2 linked regions of the Caenorhabditis elegans genome follow. The protein of the gene in region 2 interacts with the protein of the main gene of each other region in a pairwise test. Each region holds a gene or a part of one and is shown on either strand. Other genes may lie near its edges.

Evidence for each region.
Region 1: the proteins of mec-8 (region 2) and sup-12 interact in a two-hybrid assay, tested with the Caenorhabditis elegans proteins (one large-scale study listed by BioGRID).

What each region holds. Positions count from the first base shown.
Region 1 is NC_003284.9:3,900,918-3,909,468, reverse strand, and holds sup-12 (RRM domain-containing protein), read right to left. Parts: upstream 4,879-8,551; 5' UTR 4,831-4,878; coding exon 4,749-4,830; intron 4,556-4,748; coding exon 4,398-4,555; intron 3,979-4,397; coding exon 3,849-3,978; intron 3,661-3,848; coding exon 3,591-3,660; intron 3,331-3,590; coding exon of another isoform or gene 3,315-3,330; exon of another isoform or gene 3,285-3,314; intron 2,656-3,284; coding exon 2,495-2,655; intron 2,424-2,494; coding exon 2,278-2,423; 3' UTR 1,798-2,277; downstream 1-1,797. Other genes in the region: T22B2.5 (Neur_chan_memb domain-containing protein), read left to right, coding at 1,292-1,325.
Region 2 is NC_003279.8:9,438,571-9,447,028, forward strand, and holds mec-8 (RRM domain-containing protein), read right to left. Parts: upstream 5,658-8,458; 5' UTR 5,626-5,657; coding exon 5,343-5,625; intron 4,815-5,342; coding exon 4,467-4,814; intron 4,229-4,466; exon of another isoform or gene 4,114-4,228; intron 3,710-4,113; coding exon 3,402-3,709; 3' UTR 3,371-3,401; intron 2,949-3,370; 3' UTR 2,440-2,948; downstream 1-2,439. Other genes in the region: C17E4.10 (PRKC apoptosis WT1 regulator protein), read left to right, coding at 1-65, 115-286, 2,049-2,195.

The DNA of each region.
Region 1 (8,551 bases), on a different chromosome or scaffold from region 2:
ATAAATTGGATTTGGACACGTTGCAGAAAGCCATGGCAACGGATCCTTTCCAAATCACCCGTGAGCTGTCAACCACACTTGGGTCCCGTCAAACCAACATCGTACAAGATTCAGTTAATACAGGGTGGCCCATAACTATGCGGACCGCAAGTCGTACTCATAAAATCTGATTGGAACATTCAAAAATATGATAACAACACATATTTTATTTCAAATTTTCTAAGGAACAAAATTTGTTGTCAAACTTTCAAATTTTCCGCTTGTGAAATTCTACAGGCCTGCTGACATTCCTAAAAAATTTTGACGTTGGCACGCAACTCATTGGTGTTCTCCTTTTTGTTGTCATTTCTAGGTTCTATTGCAAATATCATCACTTTAGCAATCATATTTGGATTGACTTTTTTCTGAGAATCCGTTTTGCAATAAAATTCATAAATGTTTTCATCTGACATTGATGTGGTCATTGATTGAAGGGAGACAAATCAAGAACATCAGAAAGCCGACGTTCCACTTGGCACATCAGTTATGTAAAAAGTGAATGTTTTGATAAATAGCCATATGATTCTACTAATATTTTTCTTTCCTTGTGGCAACAATTATGTGCTTATCTCATTTTATGGCTGATATATACCAAAAACTGTCACTAGCTATTGAACTCCTTGTAAAATCGGCTGTAGTTACTGTCAAACAATCACCCAACAGGAGCTGGAATTTCATGGAACCAATTCCATATACTTCAACATTTATTAAAATATATTTTTCGCTTCCAAAATGTATACATTACTGTAGAAAAGATCGGTTTCGAAATTTCCACACTCAAAAATCGATGCGTGTCAAAGAGTCGTCAGTGTGGGAGATGATGCTAGTTTGACGACTCTGCCTAGATTGCGTAGTTTAACAAATCACATTTTTTTAAAGTTAGCTAATAGGAAAACATGTCAGCTATCAATGAACAAATAAAACAAAAATTTAAAATTTGTCAGGCGAGAAAAAAACATATTTTTGTGAGAGCAACTCGGTCCGCATAATTATAGGCCACCCTGTATTATTATCTCCTCATTTGTTTTAAATTTCTAATTAGATATCTAAGAATGCGAAGATTTATAAACAAAATCCCCTCACCATACTCAATTTTAAATATTGTTAGACTTTCTAGTCTTTGAACTTCATTCGAAAAAGTTTCAGAATATTTTAAAAATTTAATCATTCTATCGTGCTTTAAAAAGGGTTTTAAAATTGAGAGATGGGATATTTGGAACGGTAGTTTAATTTTATAACGTTTTGTTTTCAGTGGTGGCCAAAATGTCTCGAGCAGCTTAAAATAATTATTCTCTACCCTCATTTCGGTTAGTTATTCTACTATTTACTATTTGTAGATGGTTTCTCAAGGCATTTCAATTTTTTTTAATTTTCAGCCTGAAATGTCATTCGGAAGTGTTCAATGTCATCTACTACCACTACTATCAGTTTTAGAATTTACAGGATCGACAACTTCAATCAGTCAGGATATTATATTTTCAGAGCCAGTTTTTTCTTCTTTCACAGGTTCTTTTCCCTATTTTTTTGGATGGAAAAAATTCGTCAAAAAATTATCATTCATTCTAAAAGTATCATTCTGCCTAGTACTGTATTTTTTGTTTTAAATTCGATCTACGAAACTACAATATAGTATTGCATTATTTCTTACTGTTTGCCAAGATGACCTAATGCTGCAACTAGTTCCTGTTGTATCCATCTGCCTTCTGTTTAAACCCCCGTTCATTACAACTACTTCCAGTTTCTGCATCACACGTGATTAGGTTTTGAAATCGGTTTATTGTAAACATTAAATGCAGGAACATGTACGACTATTACGAACTCACCATATGAAATTAATTTGCAAATTCAATGAGGATGTGCAAATGGCACATTAAAATCAGGCAACTCTGGCGTTTCGGGAAAAAATTGAGAAGAAAAAACATCGAACGTGTAGAAACCCACATCAGAGATTTGTAATTTGAAATGAATAAGAAAAAAATTGACAAAATCAAAAAGAACTGTGACTAAAATTGTAAAGTATATGGGAATAAAGTTGAAATTGGAAGACTAGATAGAACTGTTTGATTTGCGTAAGAATCTGATATTTGGGTAGGACAAAGTTGTAAAATTATCAGTATAACTCGGGCAAATACCTATGTTCTCTATTGGCAAAATCAGTTGGCGAATTATTGCTGGGACGACAATGACAATCGGTTTTATGAATGAGTGAATGACAAATTGAAGAATATTATTAGGATTCTAGACACGTTGATGCTCAAGCTGTTGTTGTGCGGCAGCTAATTGTTGCAACTGTGGGTTTCCAATATTGTAGGCAGATTGGGGAACTAGGCCGTATCCTGCTGGATAGGCGGCGTATTGCTCAATTGTTGTAGGGGCGGCTGCGACTGAAAATGTTTTATTAAATTTGAAAAAAAAAAATTTTTATTTAATTTTAACTTCCTATCGTCGAACATACATTTTCCTTGGGACTGAATACCATAAGCGGCGGCAGCTTGTGGGTTCATTACTGCGGCCAGAGCATTATAATCGAACAATTGTTGCTGAGCAGCGGCTCCTTGTTGTGCCATCAACGGATTGACCAGTCCTGTGACAGTCGGATAATACATTTGAGGAAGTCTAAAAAAAAGTATTGATTAATTACCGAACACGGAATTGACAGGAGGATGTAAATGCCAAATGCTGGAAATGAGGCAACAGTGTTTATCACAATATCACCCAAAAAACACGCACATGCGTGATAAAAATTCACTTTTTTTGGTTCTGGAAAGTATAATTATTTTTGTTTTTGTTTTAACAATATTAAGAAACTCCACATTTTTTCAGTTCAGTTTTTTTGAGTTAGTGCAAAAGAAATATCTAACATATTTGGATAGAATGAAAAGTAAAATCATTGACAACTTCAAAATTCCAAAAAAAAAAGTATCAGAAAAGACGTAACCAAACTATAGCAAAGTTTAGAAAATGCGTGATGGTTTTAGTTAGGCAGCCAAACCCATTGACCTACAAAGAAATAATCATCAATCCCACCAATGAAGAAAACAACTTTGGGGTGCTCAGTTCATTCAGGACTATGCAAGTTTTCACCAAGGGAAAAGAGAAAAACTCGAAATCATATAGGTTTGGGAAATAGGTGAAAATGAAGAGAAAGAGAGTATGGACACGTCAAAAACACAGCACTATTGTATTCCGCTTTTGGTTTGGAAAATGAAAGTAATGATATTGGCACACGTCAAAGCACGCCTAACCTTTAGTTTTAGGCATCCACGGATTTCGATTCAACCGGCCACTTGTCTTAAAATATTTTGGTTTACAATCATTAATATTATTTAAGTTATTATTAAACGTGTGAAGATGGTTGAACACAAGAGTACTTCTCAAGTATCCTAGGCAACTTTTGAGCTAGAGCACAAAGTTCTACAGTGTTTTGTCATTGCTGTTGTTGTCGTGTTGTTTCTTTTTTCTGTATCAACACAACTCAATTAGCGGTGATTTTTGGATGAGATAGGAATTGTTGGAAGTATGTCACACACAGGCAAATCACCGAAACTTACCCCATTCTTGGTTGAAACAAAGCCTGAAGTTGAGTGGTGAGTGGAAGTTGAACTTGTCCAGCGGCCAGCGCTAAAATGACCAACTTGGTGATTTTGGTTAACACAGACAAAAACTGAATAGAGATGCGCGACACAAACAATATCCTTTGGTTATGAAGGTTGTGGAGGATTGATAATGTTTAGCAGAAGCCAAAACACACGGGGAGAATAAAATGATCTGAGAGCTGCTCAAGAGCCGCACAAAAATTCGAAACTTACCAGCAAGTTGCACATTTGTTCTTGGTTTAGCTCCGAGGTATGCCAAGTTGACATTAGCCTTCCTTCCATCAATGATTGGATTTGGATCTTTACAAGCTCTTTCTGCAGAAGCACGGTCCTTCATTGTTACCTGAAAAGTTATGTTTCATTAACAAACATATGTAAAGATCATGTTTTTTTGCGAAGAGTAATCTTTCCATCTTTGCTGTTGCAACTATTTGTTGAGATATATATGGTTGGGAAATGTTTGCTAACAAAATACGCGTGCGATTCCTATGAAGAGCCGCTTGAGAGGTCAAAGCAGAACCGCGAGATTTCGGAAATTTGAAGATTTCTTCATCCACCTTGTTCCCGAATTATTTTCCAATTTAGTGAAGTTAAATCAAACGAAATTGTTTCCTCTTTTATCTGGACGGACAAGATAAAAAATGGTTAATCATGTCAAAAGTGATTGATGATTAGAAACCGTTTCGTTTCAATTGACCTCCAACGTAAGATCTCGTGAAAAAATATCGCAAACTAGAAATTTTTGACATTCCAGTGACTTACAAATCCATATCCTCTGCTTTTTTGTGTGTTACGATCAGTGATGACTACAGCCTCTTCAATATCTCCAAACTGCTCAAAATACTCGTGAAGCGTCTTGTCACTTGTATGGTATGGCAGACCACCGACAAAGATTTTGGTGAACATGGTATCACGGGAACCTGAAAATGAATGGAGATGAACTAAAAAATTTGAAATATTTCCAGTTTCTATTCCTATCGCAAGTCTTCTTTTAAGTGGAACCATATGTGAGGTTACACACAAAAGTTGCATACCACTGTCATTTTTCCCTATCTTTTTCCCTCTCTAAACCATCATCATGTGACAATTCGATGGGGATCACAGGAAACTCACCAACTACTGGTTCGGCGTTGGTTGATTGTGCCAAAGCAGCGGCAGCAGCATGCACCAGTGGATCTTGGACTTGGCCGTACATTTTTTACTTGATTTATATAGGGCCTAGCTTAAATACCGTGAAATTGACCTGCAAAATGTTTTTGTTTGAAGTTTTGTATATATATACATAGAAATATGAGAAGTTTATAAACGATAATTTAAAAAAACATATACAACATCGAAGGTGTGAATCAATAGGAAATGAGCTAGAGCCAACATGAAACTGAAAACTTTACACTGCTATTATCTATCACTCGTCATGATCAATGAGTTATCAGAGACCTTACTTACCTCAGAGACCACATAGGTAGAGATAGTGAAAACTAAACGAAAGGCGACAAATCGCGAGAGAGAGATAAAATAGAAATGGATAAGAACGAGCCGACGAAAAGCTCGCGCGCGCACAAAATCCGTAGGTCTGTCTCCGGTGGTGGGTGAGCCTGTCAAAGTTTTGCTGCTCTCCAAACAGAAGCCAACCACCGCCCGCCTGTCGTCGCAAAAATTGACTCTTTCTTTCCAACACTCTTCCCCCCGGTCAATTTTTGCCATAATATTTCACCACAATGAGCCGTTGCGCAAATAACACCACCTCTGGAGTATCGATTTATGTCATGCTGATCCAGAAAAAAAAGATTGAAATCGATGAAGAGAAATAAAACGCGAAATAACAACAGAGCTCAACTGACAACGAGTGGGTGGATGTTGGGATGAAGTAAAAGAAGAAGGAGGAGAAGAATAAGAAGAAAGAAGGCTCAATCAAAGGATGCGACAAGGAGAAGTTGCTCCAAGAAGAAAAGAATAGAGACAGAATGAAGAAATAATCCATCTCTGATCACATTGCATTCATGATGTGGTGGTGGGAAATACAGAATAATACTTATACTGTAAGATGTTATTTGGAAAACAATTACGAACTGCAGTATAATTTTTTGTTTTTCTTTTTCTGTGTGAAATTTTAGCTGAGAGGAATGTACAGAGGATTTTGAATTTGGCGGCGATTCAAAAATGAAACAACCATTTGTTTGTGCCCAAAAATAGCAAAGAGAGCCCAATTTGTTGCGATGCTACAAAAAAAGAAAAAAATACCGTTCGCTCAATGTGCTCGGACTAAGACGTTCGCATGTTTGGACAATCCGAGAAAGGCAGCGAAAACAGTGGGAGGCAAAAGAAACAAACTGATGCTCTCCTCCTCCCGGGGGCTAGTCTTGTTTTTCGGGAATACAATTGCTTCAAATCTGTGCGTTTCGAGTATGGGAGTCTTTACCGCCCCTCGTCCTCACCGCCTGATTAAACAATTGGAGGACTTGGAAAGCTGTTGTTGAACGACGCAGAGCACTCTGAATATGGCGGTTCGTCACATTTACATGGAAAAACTTTAAGGATTCTTATGTGAAGTGCCATGTGCATTGAAAATATGGGAAAGTGTTGAAGATTTGAAACCCGGACGTGGTGGTGTTTCTCATCATATCAGTTTATCTTCGATAGTAAGCACAGAGACCGTATAAACCATGCAGAGAGGAAATTTCACTTTTTTATGTTATTTATGTCCGTCCGCAAAACTTCGAAGACACATGACTGAATGAAACTGTTTGTTACAAAATGATTGATTAGAGGGGGGGGGGGGGGGGGTAGAACTAAAACTGGAAGGGCTCTGAATACCAAATACCAGAACCAAATTTTTTACTAAAGGTGAAGAAGCTTTACAAATAGTGGGGAAAAAGGGGATACCATCGAGTTTTTGCAACTTTTTGAGAAAACTATAGCACTGTCGCATGTTCAAATCCGTACAATGTGTGAATATTAATAATTAAAACTGATGGAGACCATCAAACTGTAAGGAACATGTTTCAATCGATGACTTCCAAAAAAGTGGCAAAAACTGAGTAGTAACTACTTTTCAAAACAAAATAACAAAATTTCAACAAATAAAAAATTTTTGACACTATTTGATGAGCTTTTAACAATTTACATACTAGCTAGCATCATCTTGAATGATTCAAAATTAAAGAGAGAAAATAAACAAGCTCAGGTGCATCAAGAGCAGTCAGCTGAGTTTTTTTGCCGGATGAGCGCCAGCAGGAGTAGAAGAAGAAGGAGGTAGCAAAAATATATTTCGAGTGAAAAGAAAACTGGTCTTAAAGGCGGTTGGTTCATCGCCCCGAAAACAAATAGGCCAAGAGCCAACGAAAAAGTGCGAGCGCGAGCCGTTGAAGAACGAACGAAACATGAAACTTTCCCCGGCTCGAGGCCTACGGCCTGGATCGGGAACAATCTACTGAATTGCTTCACGCGGCGCGAAAAACATGCATTTTTCCATCACCGACGACGTGCGCACTGATGATGTCTTAGGGCATGCCTTTGATAACGGCGGCAGATGCCAAACCTGCTGATGTGGTCGCAAAAGAAATAAATAAAAAGTCAATTATGATTACGCGTGTTTTCGGCAATCGTCTCATTTATTTCATCTTCCTTTCTTCGAAACACCAGGAGAAAGTGACAGAATGAGTGAGGGAGGGGGGGGGGGGGGGCCCGGGGAGGGTTAGGGCAGAAACATTTTGAGACTTGTAAACAGTTGACATCTCTACCAGTGCAATAAATATACATGTTGAGCTCCTGTAAGCCACTCTGGTGGTCCTCTGGCAAGCAGACGCACCAGATGCCTGCGCAGAACAAATGTCGTAAGAATCGTGAGGCGATGGAGTGGCATAAAGGATTCATAGGGCTGCTGTGTTAACTGCTGGTACCAGCAGCAGCCTAAGATTATCATTCCACGAAACAGTAGTCTAATGCATAGATTAGGAGAGGCATACATTGGTGATGAGGAACGTTTTCTAATAACTGAAAACAAGAAACGAAAGAAAATGTCAGGAGAAACTTGTGATGGTGGAAAAATTTCATAATGGTTGAGAATAGAAAAAAGTCATTTACTTCCCGAATGCACAAGAAGTTCTAAACAAATTGGAAATACATTGTTTCACTTCTAAACATTTCTCAACTAGCTCGCCTTTATTTCATTTAACCTCTTCTTTTCAAAATACTCCAACCTCATCTCTCTCTCTCTCTCCCTCTCAATTTTCAATCAGTATCTGGAGAAATTCGATTTGCTGCTCCTATTGTGCAGAGAATTTCTAAGAGACCCCTAAGAGAGTGAAAATACGACACCGTTTCGAATGGATAGAGTCAATTGCGATGGAATGTGATGCGGTTAATCGAGCGAAAAGTGAGACGAGATGGCTGAGAACTGTAACCAATTGGAGGGACGAAAAACGGAAATCGAGACGTGAGAGGAGGCGGCAAAGAATGCTGTTGATTGCGTTTATTTTGGCACAAAGAGCAGCTAATTGAACAAAAGAGCTGAGAGGAGGATAGACGACAATAGGGAAATATGATGATAGATGGAAAAAAATTCTTGTCGAAAGAGCAAAATGTTAGAGAAATGGGAATTATGATCAACTATGGGTTTTGAGTAAAATATTGAAATATGGAGAGGTTCTGGAAAAATAAATTAGAAATAGAGGTGCAAAGAAAATATGCAAATAAATTAAACAAGCGAGCGCGTGCGATATTTCAGTTTTATTCACTTTGTAGCGACGGGAAGTGAAAGCCTACCGACTAACAATACACATAGTTAGAATGAATGAGGCCCGTCATCCATCTCGCTTTCGCCGCACGTTGTAAAGTGTCCAGGAATCGAATCCCGAGTCTGAATTCCAGTGCTTGTCTCTTCTTTATCCCTCTTCCCGCCGAGCATTGTGAGCGTG
Region 2 (8,458 bases):
AAACCGACAAGTCTCCCACTTCATTATGAGCTTGAGGCCGATTGTTCAACACCTCGAAGAGCAGAGTGAGCCGATTCTAAAAAATGTTTATGAAAGAAATCTTGTATATTATAGGTTTTCTATGAATCCTGAAGACGATTACGAAAATCAATCAGAAGATGCCACGCCTGCCACGTCATCAGGCGAAGAAGGTGTTCTTCAACAATCCCTTCTTCAACTTCAAAAACAACTTCGAAAAACCGACGTTCGTTGTTCTCGTCTCGAGAAGATTTGTGAATTTCAACAGGTACTTGGTCTTGGCCCCTTTGAACTCACTTTTCTCTGTCAGTTACTCATATTGTTGGGCTAAAGTGGCCCGTGACCTGAACAATTGAAAATAGGTGGTAGGCAGGGAAAGGGGGACAAAAAACTTCGGAAGAAGTAGAGGATTTACAATAGGTGGCAATATAAGTTTGCACGCACATACAAACAGAAATACCTCTTTGACTGCCGTCTAATTACACCTCGGATGACCTAGAAAAATAGTAAAAGAGGGTAAAGATGAGAGGAAAATGTTTGAAAAACGAACGGAACGTCAGTTTTTTTGAAAGCTTTAAGTATTCAACGGGAAAGTATTTCAAGTGCGCTTTTTCAAAATTGGTTAACGAGATAGATCATGGAAATCTTTGTTTTTTCCTAGAAGTATACATCTTATCCAGACGCGATATTTTTCGATTTTTAAGCTAAAAATACGGTTGATTACAAAAAAGGTGTGCGTCTTTAAAAGGTACTGTAATTTAGAAACATTGAAAAATTAATGAAAATTAGGCAGCAACAAAAGCTTGAAGTTACAGTACCCTTTAAAGGTGTACACCTTTATGCATTTGAAAAAAAATTTGTCGATTCGATACCGTATCTTTAGCGCAAAATTTCTCGTCTGGGTAATATTATGGGCTTTAAGACCCCATGAAAAAAAGAATGACCGTGAAAGCTCCAACCCGGCTCTGTGTCGATTTACGCAGCTCGTGTACTTCTCACACTTCTCCTCGAGTAGTACACAAGCTGCGTAAATCGACACATGGTCGTGTTGGAAGTTTCACTACTATTCTTCTATTTCAAATCAAACCCCTGATTTCGAAATTTCTTTCTACAAAATCTGTATGATTGTCAAAATTGGGGAATGTCCGTGTGTAACCCGTGTTCTCCGTCTCTTTCTAGTATTGCGTGAAGTGGATGAGCCAACAATGTCAATCGTATGAGCACAAGGTACTTGGTACCTAATGATCTTTCTTCTCTTTCAATCACTCACTCAGACTCCTTCTCTGTTCCACCCGTGTCAATTGAATACACGGACAATACTCGGCGATTTTCGATTCCTTTATGCTCAACAATTCACAAATATGTCGAGAGAGCGTAGTAGTTTTTATTGTAAATCAAGAAGGAAAGGAAAGAGAGAAAAAGAGTGGATAATTTTTGGTTTATTACACAACTTTCATGTTCATGTCTTCGAAGGACGGCGCCAACTAGGTTAATAACACAGACATGTCAAGTTTGAGCTACAGTAACCAAGTATTTTGAAGTGGCATCTATGTAGAATGTGGAACATAGTAATATACATTTCAGTGGCTTAAAAAATTTAATCATTTGATAGTTTTTGTTCAATCCCAAAAGTTCCGTCTACCTAATTTCCTAATTACCGAACCATTTTAGAAAGAAAATTTTGAAAAAAAAATGAATGCATTAGTTCCTCAAAAAAAAAATCCCCGGAATCATCACACTAGTAGTTTCCTTTTTTCTTGAAATATCGTTGACACGAAACTTCCTGTCCGATTATGGTATGGTTCATTGAAACGAAAAAGACCTCAACATCCCTTGACTGCTGCCACCTTCTCCTCGATTCTCCATCCAAAGTCATGCACACAAATAAGACCTTCTCAACACTCTCAATGCATTTCCGGAGTGTGTGGTGGTGGAGGGGGATCGAGGATTATTTGCATATATACATACTTGGACACTTCCTTCTTGCGCGCCGACTCGCACCGCCAGTTTTTAAAAGTTGATTTTTACAGCGTGACATTGACAGCCTTCGGTTCGAGGTCGACTGGAAGGACAAACGGATCGAATTTTTGCAGAAGACGCTACAGGAAATAGAGACATCAACATCTCAGTCAGATGCTCCAAATACATCAAGATCTACTACAACATCCACATCATAATAATTATTCATTCATATAGGTGCTTTTGTCATCCCATGATTCCTATGATTGTTGTAATCTCTCAATCAAGTCTTTGTTTTATCACATTTTGCCATTATTGCATATTTTCTTTGAAATCTGTAACATATTTCCCGAGCTTTCCAAATTCCAAAACTTCCTACTTCATTCCATTCACCAACTCGCTTTTTTCTCACTTGCTTACGGCTTATTGAAATCACAACAATTCACAACGAAACCAACCAATAAAGTGTATAAATTTATTACAAAAGCTTTTTCAAATTACAACAGAAGAGAGACTGGAATGCATGATGATTGGTGGTAAAAGGGGAAAAAGGATCTTATGAAAAATTAGAACAAATCACAGAAAATTTCAGGTTCGGACAGACAGACAGGTGGATAAGCTCTCGTGATATATATTTACAGAGAGTAAATCAGAAATAGAAAAGATATGATGCAAAGGAGCTCTACGGTCAAGACAATAGAAGTTCCTGTAGGGTGCTTACAAACACTTCGAATTTTGTAAAAATTAAGAGAAAGGAAAATAAAATGCGAATAAAAAGAGATCCGAAAGGATTTTTGGTGATTTTTTGGGAGAGTAAAATGAAAAAAGGACGAAAATGCACTAAGTGTAATGAGAGCGGGTGTACGTTGGTGGAGGTGGTGGTGGTTGTGCACAGGAAGAAGAAGAAGAAGTAGAAGTAGTAGTTGCTGAGTGATGATTGTGCATTTGGTGATGGTGGTGCGCTTCCCAAACTGAAATTGTAAGGATTTGTCTCTGACCCGTTTGATTTTAAAATGAGAGTGGATTGTCGGAGGGGCAGTTGAAAGGCTTTCGGGTATTATTATTATTATTAATAGTTATTATTATTTTTGTCAAGCATTTTATAATTTAATTATGCAGGCGTTGAATTATCACATTTCTGTTTTGGCATCACAGTTGGGTTACTCGTTTTAAAAACTCATTATCACAGTGTTTGAGCTAATCCCTTTCTCTGTGTGATGATAACTACAGTAATCTAGAAGGATACCTGTTAGGTGTGCGCGTACGTGTTAAGTGTCACATACACAAGGATACATAGCAAGTGTGTGAGGGGGATGAATTTTACAAGTTTGGGTGCTAAAAAAGATAAAGAGAGAAAAAGGAAATGGTTGTTCAAAAGAGATATACAACATACACAAAACTGCAAAGAATTCTTGCTTCTCTTCTTATCCATTCACATCAGCCATCTTGTTCCGAGCATATTCAATACGAAGACCACCTCGATCGTTGGCTGTTATCTGGAATCCTTGTAGTGATATCATCGCTTGAGTTGCTTTCTGAAGATCCGAATATTCAACAAACGCCACACATGATCCATTCTTGTTGTGCAGTCGTAGACGTGTGAAACCAGAGAATGCTTTGAATACACCCCGAAGAGTATCTTCATTCACTTCAGCCGATAGATTGGCGACGAAAAGAGTGGAGCACGCAGAGGTGGAAGCTTGAGATGCTTGTTGAGAATGTTGGAGGCTGGCTGAAAATTCTCTTGGCTCTAATTTAAATAGCTATGTCATAGGAGGTCTGGAAATTTTTAAAAAGAGAGAAACAGCTAACGGGGTTGAAGTTGCGAGGATTATGTTCTAGATTGCTCCAAATTACTAAAATAAATAAAGAATACAAAACTATTTGGTTAAGCTGGAGAAACTTTGAGGTAAACCGGCAGCCATAAATTGGAAGAGCTTATTTTAAAAAATAAAGCCGTAGAGATATGAATTCCGGAAAAAATATCGTCACAACTTTTCTTTAATATTTCTCAAATGAGTTTAATGGTTATAAAACGAATTTCCTTCTACGCGGTTAAATTTTCCATATCGAATTTTCTTGAACTTTTCCTATTTTTTTCTAAGAAGTTTTTAAGAAATATTTTGGAATTATTTGGTGATATTTAAAACAAAATCCCGACATATGACAGTAAGTTTTTTTTCTCAAACATACAGTAACCCCGTTAGCTGAGAGACTCTATTTTGAAACTAATGGGATACAGAAGGACTACGAGACAGTTCAGAATAGTGTGATGTGTGATGGTGAGAGTTTCAGTGAGTGGATAGCGTGTACACAGTGATTTGATAGTTGTGAATGTGTGGAACATAGTGATTGTGCGGTGGCTATAGTTTAACCATCGTGATCACTAATTGTGTATTAAGGAATTAGTTTGTGGGAGACTTGTGGGAAATAAAATAATTATAAATTATTTTCTGGAATTTCCAGAAAATGTGATTAGTATTTCTTACCTGCTGCAGCGGCTGCTGGGTGCATTTGAGCAGCTGCAAACAATTGATTCTGACTGTATTGTTGTAGAGCAGAAGCTGGCATATAGGCTGCTTGAAGTGCCTGTGCAGCATGTAAATGTGGAAGTGAAAGAGCCAATAGTTGTTGCTCATTGAAAAGAGCTGCTGATTGAGGATCTAGTAGAAGATCGTGTTGCATTGGTGCCAAAAACTGCGGGACTCCGGCTGCAGCGGCTGATAGTGCCGCATGTTGTGGTGGTGGTGGAGATTGTTTAGGTCGAGCTACTTTTGTGTTCGATTTTGCAAGTTCTAGTCGAAGTACCTGTGCACATTCCGGATCGAATCGGACACCTGAAAATTTGAAGAATTTCGTTGTCGTATGTGTGTGTGTGGGAACAATGTTGATTGGTTTTTTAATTGGCAAAAAAGAAAATGACAAGAAATGCCTACTGTGGTGTGAAATCTTTTGGTTGGAAAGCTGTCAACAGGTCTACCTGGAAAGGAAACAGGTGAAAATCTAGCTAGAATCTTACAAATAAATATTTCAAAACAAAAAAGGCACCTTACAATTAGAGGAATTTGTGTCATATTCTCACTAATCTTATTTAGATTGGTTTTTTTGAAATATCAACAACTTCTCAATCACAATGCCAATGCATTTTTGATTAACTCAAAGTTAAACGAGATATAAGCTGCCAAATTCTAGTAACATGGGAGCAATGCCAATTCGAAAAAAAGCGCAAATTCTAGCGCAAGTCTCTGCTGAACGTTAATTTTGTTACACGAAAGTTGGAGATTTGAGCTAGAAAGATGGCAGAAACTGCTGAAATGTATGTATATCGAACATTTTTCGACAACACGTAAAGAAAACAAATTTACCTTGCAACATTTTTCTGGCGTCCTGCGCATCTTGTTGCGAAAGAAAGGTGACAAATCCGACTGGAGACGTTGGTTTTCCATTCTTCGATGTCATTTTCAAAAGAGCTCCCTCATAACCACGACATCCACGGAACAGAAGATAAAGCTCACGCGGCTTAGCATCCATTGGAAGACCCGAAACAAACAAGGTGCGGACCTGTGATGGATTCGTTGCTTCAGAAGAAACACTGTTCAACGACTCCATCGAAGCGGCCGACGCCAGGTTCGGCTTCGGGCCGTCCATCTTCCGTTTGCGGCTGTTTTCAATCGTTATGGCTGCAACAAAATGTGATTGGAAATGGTGGGGAAACTTGTGAAAAGGGGCGACAAAGAAATAGGAATACATTTAAAAAGGAAGGAGGTGCTAAAGAAGTGGAGTCATATACACGAGAATCATCGTCCGTCGTCATGATGATGGGATGGATGGATGACTATGAAAAACGATGGAAAAAAGGCAAAAAGATGGGAGGAGCGAAGAGGCGATGTCGAATGTTGTGTCGGAGGAGGCACATAAATTGAGCGGAAGATGTAGGGAAGGTAGGAAATAAGAGAGAAAGTAGAGAAATGGTGCCTAGCAACCAAGACGTCGTGTGCCGAGAGCCAACTACAAGGAGCCAATCGGGTTGGCGGGAGAACCAAAAGGAGATTGAGATGGGACATGACATTCTCCTTATACATGTATTTCGTCATAATTAATCATTAAACCAGGCTGTTACAAGGGAAGCTTATTATAGGATTAGAAAATATATAGGAGAGTGGATTTGGTTTATAAAATACAATATTTTAAGAAATTTTTAATATGTAAAAAATCGTGATCTGAGCTTTTGAGCTTTTGGGTAAATTCTAGATATTCTAGCAGGTTGAGACGTGATGGGTTTTTCTCAATCGCCTCTTAACCATCCTACCAGCTATATAATTTTGGGCCTTGCTTTAACGCCTAGTTAGTTTTCAAAGAAGTAGAAAGCAAAATATGTTGATGAAAATCAGTAAGGGGGTGTGAAACATATCCTTTACTACCAGACGATAATGAGATGAAACTGCTCGGAAAAAATAGGGCTACTGTCGCATGCATACAAGTTGGAAAGAACAATGTAATTAAAATTAATAGAAACTCTTCACAAAGAGTTAAACAAAAGAAGGGAAACGGTTTGTCAATTTGAATTGCCGTACCATGAAGCCTTTTTGGAATAACGAAATAGGCCAAAGGATCTTACAGTTTCTTTGCATTTTTATTTTAATTTTAACAGAGCATAACCATACAGTTGAGCTTTCAAGCCACTTAAAGTACAAGAAATTTTCTGAAAATTTTAAAAATTGAATCACTTTGCCATAAAACCAATAGTTATTAATTTAAATAGCGTGATTACAAAAAATATTGAACTAGAGAAACCGTTCGCAGTTCATTTCAAAATTACACACTCACAAACAAATAACTACTGACAAAAAGTATTTTCCCTCGATACAAGACAAGATGACACGACCACCAACACTCCCTTAATAGGAAGGAAAAAACAACTAGACAAGGAGGGTACTGGGGGTGGAATGATTGGGGGATGGGACACTGATAAGAAAAGCATTATTTGAAAGAAAAAAAAAATGGATGGGGGAACTTATTGACAAGATAATGATAATGAGAAAATGTGAAAAAAGGAGAAAAGATGCCACCTGTTGGTGGGGTAAAGTGATGGGAAAATGGGGAAAAAAGAGAAAATTAAAAGTGACCTTCGTATGAGAAATACAAACTGGGAGAGGGAGGTATATAGATAGAGGAACAAGAATTTGGCAGTCAGAAACTAGAAGCTTTTTTGCTTCATTGATGGGTTTTTAGCTTATGCGTGTACTACCTTTAAACTCTCACCTATGGCCTAGAAATTATTCTAGGCCAGTTGAGAGGAAATAAAAAAAGAGCACACGGAGCATCGCCGTGCTCCGGAGAACCCAGGAGAGGGGTGGCAAATGTCATAAATAGAGTGAGAGAGACGCGAGAGAAAATGAGAAGAGGAGCAGAAGGAGTAAGGAATTACATTTCCCTAGTTTTTTGCCTTTCGAAATTTGAGCTTTTTTTCCTTTTGCATAATGGAACTTTATAGCTGATGAAAACTATAGAAAGTATTCAAAAAGCATAAACTTATCAATGTTTGTTTTAAAAGTGAGAATATTTTTTTGCGATAGAGATTGCTGATAAGAAAATTTCAAAGTTTTTGCACATGGTATTTAAATTCTAAAAGTTTTCTGTTTACAAAATTAATTGTATATACTTTCACAAAGAAGGAGAAATTCAATTAATTGCTTCATTGAATTTTAAGTGGGTACGTCATTCAGTTTTAGTCATTAAAGAGTTTCATATAGGAATAATGACCAAGGAAAACGTTTTTGAGTTTTGAAAAGTTGAGTATCATTTCTAGAGGATAAAAAAGGATATAGAAAATTAATTTTTGGAGTGATTTGTCGAATTTGGTAAGTTTGAAAGGGAATTTTGAGTATAATTGGTTAAAATACAAACTTGGCAATTTCAAATTTAGTAAAATGTTCAAATTGAATACTAGTTGAACTAAGAACTAAACTATTTGTACATACACTTATAACATCAAAACCAATGCAAAAAAAGAAATCCAAATCACCGCAAAAAAAGTGCTACCGTCCTTTTTTGGTTCAGTTGACTGGAACTAATTAGACAATGTCTTCTGTCGTTACAATTACCACTACCACCACCACAACGATCTTCCCTTTTGTTGCGAATTGAATCTATGGGAATGTGTATGGACTTGTCATGTTTGTATGGCTGGAGACGACAATACAATACAATAAATCAATTGCAAGAAAGAACGCGTTTGGCAAATGCAAACAACTACAGGAACAATTTCAGGAAAAGAGAATAGTAATCATAACATTTTATACTTCGGTTCATAGTATTGATTAATAAATAAAAAGCTGTAGAGAGCGAGAAATAAAAAATGTTTTGTTTATTGAATAACTTTTGGTAAAACAAATTTTAGCAATTAGGATTATTCTAGTCGCGGAAAGTGATCTTATAAACTTGAAGAATTTCTGTAATATTTTGTAAATTTAAACTCAAT